3 linked regions of the Kluyveromyces lactis genome follow. The protein of the gene in region 1 purifies or fractionates together with the protein of each later gene. This does not show direct contact. Links are inferred from orthologs where the notes say so. Each region holds a gene or a part of one and is shown in the gene's direction. Other genes may lie near its edges. The genes, in order: ALB1, MRT4 and LSG1.

Region 1 (2,209 bases):
AGAAATGACATGAGACCCCTGCAATGCCGTTAATCTGGCCCCTATGTCGTTTATTTTCAAGTTGCCCTCTTGAGTAGCTATCTTCTCTTTCAATTGATTGGCTTGTTCTGTGGTCTTGTTCCAGAAACTGGATACTGTAGCAGAACCGCTAGATGACCACCAATTGGAAATTGACGCCAGTGGGTCCTGAACTGCCTCTTCACCTTCTTCTGCCACATGTTCTTCTTTTCCTTTCTGTTCACTCGGTTTCTCTTTACTGGCTGTCTCTTCTACAGGTTTCTCGTTCGATTCTGGCTTCTCCTCCGGTTTCTCTTTCTCTTGCTTCTTAGAGGATTGTGGCTTGTCCTTTTTGGACGGTTTCTTCTTAATATCCAGGTTACTATTTTCCAATTCGTCTAAGAATTCCATAATATCCTCATCCTGGCCGCCGTTCCCACTAACCTTACCCTTTCCCTTAGTGTTATTAGCAGTACTGGCTGGTAAAGAGTCTAAAAACTCTAGCACATCATCGGCATCACTAGTCATTTGGTGTTTTCTTTTTAAGTCTTTACTGTCGATAAAACTTGAATATTGATACGAATTGTTCAATCAAGAATCGATATATTCAAACTAGAAAATTATCGCTGAAAGGCAAGACAAAACTCCAACGGTTGAACTTAAACTAGCCTCCTAATCCTTGTGAACACAAGTATATAGTTTCTATCCTTTCTCTATTGTCATGGTTCCAACTACCGTGTGTTTTTTTCATGTATTGGTCCATTCTAAGGGTGGGTCGTATTTAAATATCCGGGTAACTATGTCACTTTCATTACCATGAAATAACGCTGGTATACATAAAGTGAGCAGTTAGCCGAAATGTAATGAGCACCGTGGCCTTTATCACCACCTATTCTTACCCCTTCCATAGATGGTGCTCTCCAGTACCAATGTCGGCATGTCTTGGCTTAAATCTTAGCATTTTTCATTAACTAATACCGTATCTATTTTGTACTGCCGTTTCTTTTCTAAAATTTTTCATCTCATCTCATCGCGAATCTGTTGAAAAGTTAATGCATCTCCATACCATGTACTTGATCCCCCGTTACTATTCACCTGTGCTAGCTATCTTGTTACTTGTTACTCTTAGTACTGGCTAGTATTCCTGGAACTACAAGTTAACGGTTAATCACAGTACTAAAATTCGAGATGCCATCTAAGAACTCCATTAACAGGCCAAAGCAAAAGGTTAACTTGAACCGTAAGGTTCATCAACGTGCTGCCAAGAGAGATGCTATGGAAAAGAAGGGTTTATTGGCACCAGCAAGATCTTCAGGAACATCTAAATCTGGTCAGTTGAAGAGTATACCATTGGATCTTTACAAAGGCGAGCATTCGACCTCTGGTGCTCTTACGACCAAGACTCTTTCGAAGAAAAGAGCAAAGAAGATCGAACGTAACTTGAAATACGTGGAACAAAGAAAACTATTAGTTGATCTACAATCTCAAAGTGAGGAAAACGGTGGTATGCAGATTGATGCGCCTGTTGTGAAGAAGGAGAAGGAAACCAAGAAAGGACAATTGGAAAAGATGAGAGAGGCTATTTCCACGGTGTTGGAAGATATTCAATCTCAAGGTTTATCCCTTCAGACAGGTTCTGGTACAACTCTAGGTGGTCAGTATTTCTTGTAGAGAGTCTTAAAAATCGTTAAATGGGGTTTGCATTGTCTATATAAACATTTTGTATACTAGGATAGATCTTAAACGGATCGTTCATTAAATATTATTCTGACATAAAAAAGAGTGCGTATATGTACTTAGGTACTTACTACTTTTCGTATAAACCTTTGGTCACTAATGCATCATTGACCTTGGTTTTCATAAATCCAATGACATCTGCTGGGTCGTGCGCGCGGAACACAGAGGTACCGGCAACAATGACATTGGCACCTGCCTCGGCAGCAAGTTCGACATTCTGTTTACCAAGACCACCATCGACTTGAATGTTCAAATTAGGAAATCTAGTTCTCAAGTCCTTCACTTTGCTCATCATATCGGCCATGAATTTTTGGCCACCGAAACCCGGTTCGACAGTCATTACAAGAGCCATATCCAGGGATGGTGCCAACTCGTACAACACATCCACAGGGGTACCTGGCTTCACAGAACAGGCAGCCTTCATACCATGCTTCTTAATTAGCTTAACCAACGCTACCGGGTCCTTTGTAGCCTC
Region 2 (2,100 bases), on another chromosome or scaffold:
CTATCTAAAATTTCTAGTTCACAACCCGGTATCTCTTACCACCTTAATAATTGGTATCTTAGAGGTTGTTAGACTTTGGCAAGCAATACAAGAGGTATGTTTAACTCGCCGGCTGTTCATATCAAACCAACTAGTTTGTTTCCTGCTAAATATGTACTGAGATTGCAATTTCCTGACTCTGAACTTTTAAGGTACATTTTGGTCCGGTACACTGCGGTTTTATCTGAGGAAAATATACACAATACCCGTCGCCACAAGTAATGAGTCACGTGACTAAGTTTACTTCCCCATTTACAATACATCTCCGGTAATAGGTTAAATCATTACCACTATATCTACTTGCCCGATACACGATCATGCCCTATCTGTGCCTTTCTAGTCTTGATATTTGTGTTGAATTGAGATCTATTGTCTCATTGGCAATGAGTGAGAGACTCAGAAATCAGTCAAGGGAATTCATACCGGAGTTTGGTTTTGCAGTTCCTTAGAATAAACCTCTCTAACCGAGCTTATGAGAATGGCCCTAGAGCATTGCAAAAGAGCCGGTATATGTCTTACCGATTCACTTTGTGTCAGAGGTCGTTACTTTCCGTTTGGAAAAATCAAATCACGTGACTCACAACTAGAAAGAAAAAGAAAGGCGCAAATTTTTCAGTTTGAGAAAGCTCATCTCATCGCATCTACTCGATGGACCTTTCATAGTTTAAACTGATCAACAGTACTAATCGCTATATTCTATCAGTTGTATTCCTCTTTATTTATCTCTCTTCTGTAATTGAATAGTGTTCTGATAATTGTTTACTTTTCGTTACTCTTTATCATCAAGCTACTACATATACCAACCCAGATACGATGCCAAGATCTAAGCGTTCAAAGTTGGTTACATTGGCCCAAACCGATAAGAAGGGTAGAGAGAACAAGGAAAGGATATTCGATGAAGTTAGAGAAGCCTTGGATTCTTTCAGATACGCTTGGGTTTTACATTTGGAAGATGTGAGAACTCCAGTTTTGCAAGAGATTAGAAGTTCTTGGGTTGGATCCAAGTTAATCATGGGTAAGAGGAAGGTGTTGGTGAAAGCGTTAGGTGAAAAGCCAGAGGAAGAGTACAAGGAGAACTTGGCCAAACTATGTAAGCACTGTTCTGGTGTTACTGGTCTATTATTTACCAACGAACCTGTCGATGTAGTGGAAGATTACTTCAAGGCATATGTGAGAGCTGATTTCTCCAGACCAAAATCAAAGGCTCCATTGTCTTTTACCATTCCAGCCGGTATTGTATACTCTCGTGGTGGTCAAATCCCAGAAGAAGAAGATGTGCCTATGATACATTCTCTGGAACCAACTCTAAGAAACAAGTTCAAGATTCCAACCAAAATTAAGAATGGTAAGATTACCATCGAATCTCCATACTTGGTCTGTGAAAAGGGCAAAACTCTAGATGTTACTCAAGCATTGATCTTGAAACAATTTGGTATAGCAGCTGCTGAATTCAGGGTGAAGGTTGCCGCATACTACGATAACGAAACTTCTAGTGTGGAACAGATCAATATCAACATGGATTCGAAATAAATCCAAAAATAAGAAAGCATTGCAGTGATAAACTATAAATATATATATATAATCATAACCTATATATTTCTCCTTTGTACATTAATCTCTTCTCTAGGAATCCTTTATCGAATACACGTACTGCCAATATTCGGTCAGATTCTTCCAACCTTGAGACATCATTCCCAGATCTGTCGCTGACACCATTCTGATACGCACAGCGTACTGATTTTCCAGTCGAAGCGATCCATGAAGGATGAGGTTACAATGTCGCAGCTGGGAGATTGACAGATCAAGAGTTTTCTGTGTCTCTTCTGATTCCAATTGTTCTTTCGTCATTAACAGGGACTCTAAACCGTAGATGATAATTTCTTCATAGCACATCGATGTGTTTCCTTTATTCTGGAGCTCAATCTCGACATATGTCAAGTACATATATAAATACTGTAATTTATCAAGGAACAGAATCCGCACGTTGGATCGTCCCCTGACTATATCATCAATACTGTTAAAGAAATGCGTCTTGTTTTCCCGTAGATCTTGCTCGAAGAA
Region 3 (3,386 bases), on another chromosome or scaffold:
CTCAATATAATTTATTGTTGAGGAGTCGAAATACGATGGCTCCACCTCCTCTATAAAGCATATTTCACCATGTATGATATCAACAGTAGCAAAATCCCCATTAGTAGTGGTTAAAAGTACGAGATTATCCAGCAATGGAGAAAACTGGAGAGACGTTATTAGACATGTGGGATCAAATACTTGAAGGTTGTTCAATAGTTTGATATCAATTGATGAATTATCATCGTCGACAGATATCGTCCACAGAATCATATTACCGGTTGAATGAGCTGTTGCGAGTAAAGTATCATCGAATGGATTGAGCTTCAAATCTAAAATTGCCCCATAGGTTTTTATGCTAGAAAGAAGGTTCAATTCTTTATCATAAACCTCAATAGAGCCAGTTCGATTGCCTGAGTCCTTATGCAAGAGATAGGTACCCACAATGATAAATTTCTCTCTTAAAATACACAAGCAACATGGAGGAAGACGCGTGGTAACCCTTTTATCAGCTGCAGTTTCTTCCATTCTGCAGAAACTCTTGACTTCTAATTTTGTCGCTCCTCTAAGGTGGTATGCAATACCTATGTTGGAGTCGTACTCTGCATCCTCATCATGCGGGTGCTTTTGTAAAGATTGTTGAGCCATCCATCTGTTCTAGTTCAGGTTTACCACACAATTTCTTTTTTACACTTTACGTACTAGCGGAAAATTTTAATATGTTAACCAGCTCATCTCATCATAAGCAAAGCATCAGCACAACAATCTTAGCAGTTAACGGCAGGTCTACAAGCAACACGGACTAGCAGCATGCCACCAAAGGAAACAACAAAGAAGTGGAAACCTCCAAAGGGTCCAAAGCCTATTCAAAGGAAGAATAAAAACACTATTGGGTTAGGTAAGGCAATTCAAACTGCAAGACGTAAGGAAAATGAAGTGCAGTATTTGCCAGATGGTGAAGAACGTTTCACTACCGATAAGCACGAAGCTAATTGGGTAAAATTGAGATCTGTTACTCAGGAATCTGCATTAGATGAATTTTTGAGTACTGCTGAGTTAGCAGACAAGGATTTCACAGCGGACAGACATTCTAATGTCAAGATCATCAGAATGGATAACGGTGCCGATGCAGCCACATCCCAGGGATTTAGTTTGACCAATGAGCAGAAAAGTAAGATCAACGAGAAGCAGAGATTACATGCTAGAGAGTTGATTGTCCCAAGAAGGCCTAAGTGGAATGAATCTATGACCAGATTTGAATTAGAAAGGTTAGAAAAGGAAGCATTCTTGGAATGGAGACGTAAATTAGCCTATTTGCAAGAAGACAACGAGGATTTGTTATTGACTCCATTCGAGAGAAACATTGAAGTTTGGAGGCAGTTGTGGAGAGTTGTTGAGCGATGTGATCTAGTAGTCCAAATCGTGGATGCCAGAGATCCATTATTATTCAGATCCACAGATTTAGAGAAATATGTGAAAGAAGTGGATGACAGGAAACAGAATTTACTTTTGATCAACAAAGCGGATTTATTAACAAGAAAGCAACGTATTATTTGGGCCAAGTACCTTCTCTCGAGGGGCATCTCTTTTACATTCTTTTCTGCTGCCAAGGCTAATGAAATATTAGAGAGACAAGAGGAACTAGGGGATGAATACGTTGAAGAAGAGGACGATGAGGAAATACTGGCTACAGAGGAAGAAATTGAAGAACTTGATGGGGAAGAAGTGAACAAAGAAATTCTGGATAAAATTAACATACTGAAGATCGATCAACTTGAAGAATTGTTCTTAGATAAAGCGCCAAACGATCCGCTACTTCCTCCATTGCCCGGTCAAGAGCCAATCATACAAATAGGTCTAGTGGGTTATCCAAACGTTGGTAAGTCTTCCACTATAAATGCCTTGGTGGGTGCCAAGAAAGTTTCTGTCTCTTCTACCCCTGGTAAGACCAAACATTTCCAAACTATCAAGTTATCTGATAAGGTAACGTTATGCGACTGTCCAGGTCTAGTTTTCCCTAATTTTGCATACAATAAAGGTGAATTGGTGTGTAACGGTGTTCTACCGATCGATCAGTTACGTGACTATATTGGGCCATCGACATTAGTGGCAGAAAGGGTCCCTAAATACTTTTTGGAAGCCATTTACGGTATCCATATTCAGACCAAATCCGTAGAAGAGGGTGGGAATGGTGAAGTACCAACTGCACAAGAATTACTCGTTGCTTATGCCAGAGCTCGTGGTTATATGACACAAGGTTTTGGTGCCGCAGATGAATCTCGTGCCTCTCGTTACATTCTCAAAGATTATGTGAACGGTAAACTCCTGTACATTAATCCACCGCCTCACATGGACGATGATACGCCATATACCAGAGAAGAATGTAAGGAATTCAACAAAGATTTATACACGTTCAGTAAATTACCTATCAACAGACAAGAGCAACTTGCAGAAGCTGCCAAACACAAAGGTATACAAGATTTGGATCTTGCTCGCGATTTAAGTCGATTAACGTTCTCTGCTCATATTGGTGGTGATGGTGATAAAGTACAAGCTAAATCTGTCAACCATGGTGGTAAACAAGCAGCCTTGTACAACGTAGCTGATGAACTTGACAAAAATTTCTTCCATTTGAACGGTGTTCAAGGCAGACTTACGAACCCTTTCCATAAGCAAACCGTCGCCAACGAAAATGGTAAGAAGCATAACAAGAAGAACAAGAAGAGTAAGAAAAAGGCTTCCATGTTTTCCGATTAATGTAAGTACTATCTAAATTCATCCTAAACTCTTATATATATATAAATCCACTGTTTGCACAGTCTATTATCCCCATTCATTATGGAAATGTAACTGCATATCCTTTATATCTTCCTTAGCTGCCCTGCTTCCGGTTATAAGACCTATGGTTAGCATGCAACTTGTCACTGCATTACCCGGTGTTTACTGAAAAATTTGATGAACCAAAAGAAAAGGATACAAAACTTGGTTAAAGTTGGTTTACTTTATACTTGACCTCAGTACATGGTCCAGTTGATAAGTATTCTTGTCATTTGTGGTTATCTTTTTGGTTCCTAGCTCAGCAAACAAGGGCTCTTAAACACATTTCGGCATGTTCAATTATGGTTCGCGTTGTGGTTATCATGGCGCAGACTTATTCCACGCATGTAGAAGTAAGCTCAAGATGCCCAGAGCTGGGATACTCCCATTTAACGCCCTTTTCGCTAACAACAACTGAATTCCTACAGTTTGTAGTTTGATAGTAGGTGGGCGGAAATATTACCCATTTAATTGGTTCAGTAGTTTCCTCTGAAATATTATGAGAGTCGTATGAATTTGTATATCAATAAGATTTAGCAATAGTTAACCAAGTTCAGCCTTATGTTATACTTACCATCGGTAGATACATT

Evidence for each region.
Region 2: the proteins of ALB1 (region 1) and MRT4 purify together in Saccharomyces cerevisiae (affinity purification with mass spectrometry; 3 studies listed by BioGRID, with this or other methods). This does not show direct contact. The link is inferred for Kluyveromyces lactis from reciprocal best matches to the Saccharomyces cerevisiae genes ALB1 and MRT4.
Region 3: the proteins of ALB1 (region 1) and LSG1 purify together in Saccharomyces cerevisiae (affinity purification with mass spectrometry; 3 studies listed by BioGRID, with this or other methods). This does not show direct contact. The link is inferred for Kluyveromyces lactis from reciprocal best matches to the Saccharomyces cerevisiae genes ALB1 and LSG1.

The regions. Positions count from the first base shown.
Region 1 is NC_006041.1:1,345,389-1,347,597, reverse strand, and holds ALB1 (Alb1p), read left to right. Parts: upstream 1-1,185; coding exon 1,186-1,668; downstream 1,669-2,209. Other genes in the region: DUF5427 domain-containing protein MTC1, read right to left, coding at 1-525; ribulose-phosphate 3-epimerase RPE1, read right to left, coding at 1,805-2,209. UniProt on the Saccharomyces cerevisiae protein: With ARX1, involved in proper assembly of pre-ribosomal particles during the biogenesis of the 60S ribosomal subunit. Accompanies the pre-60S particles to the cytoplasm.
Region 2 is NC_006038.1:1,184,278-1,186,377, reverse strand, and holds MRT4 (mRNA turnover protein MRT4), read left to right. Parts: upstream 1-852; coding exon 853-1,569; downstream 1,570-2,100. Other genes in the region: SHU1 (Shu1p), read right to left, coding at 1,663-2,100. UniProt on the Saccharomyces cerevisiae protein: Component of the ribosome assembly machinery. Nuclear paralog of the ribosomal protein P0, it binds pre-60S subunits at an early stage of assembly in the nucleolus, and is replaced by P0 in cytoplasmic pre-60S subunits and mature 80S ribosomes.
Region 3 is NC_006042.1:641,281-644,666, reverse strand, and holds LSG1 (ribosome biogenesis GTPase LSG1), read left to right. Parts: upstream 1-789; coding exon 790-2,736; downstream 2,737-3,386. Other genes in the region: RRT2 (diphthamide synthase), read right to left, coding at 1-627. UniProt on the Saccharomyces cerevisiae protein: GTPase required for the nuclear export of the 60S ribosomal subunit. Acts by mediating the release of NMD3 from the 60S ribosomal subunit after export into the cytoplasm.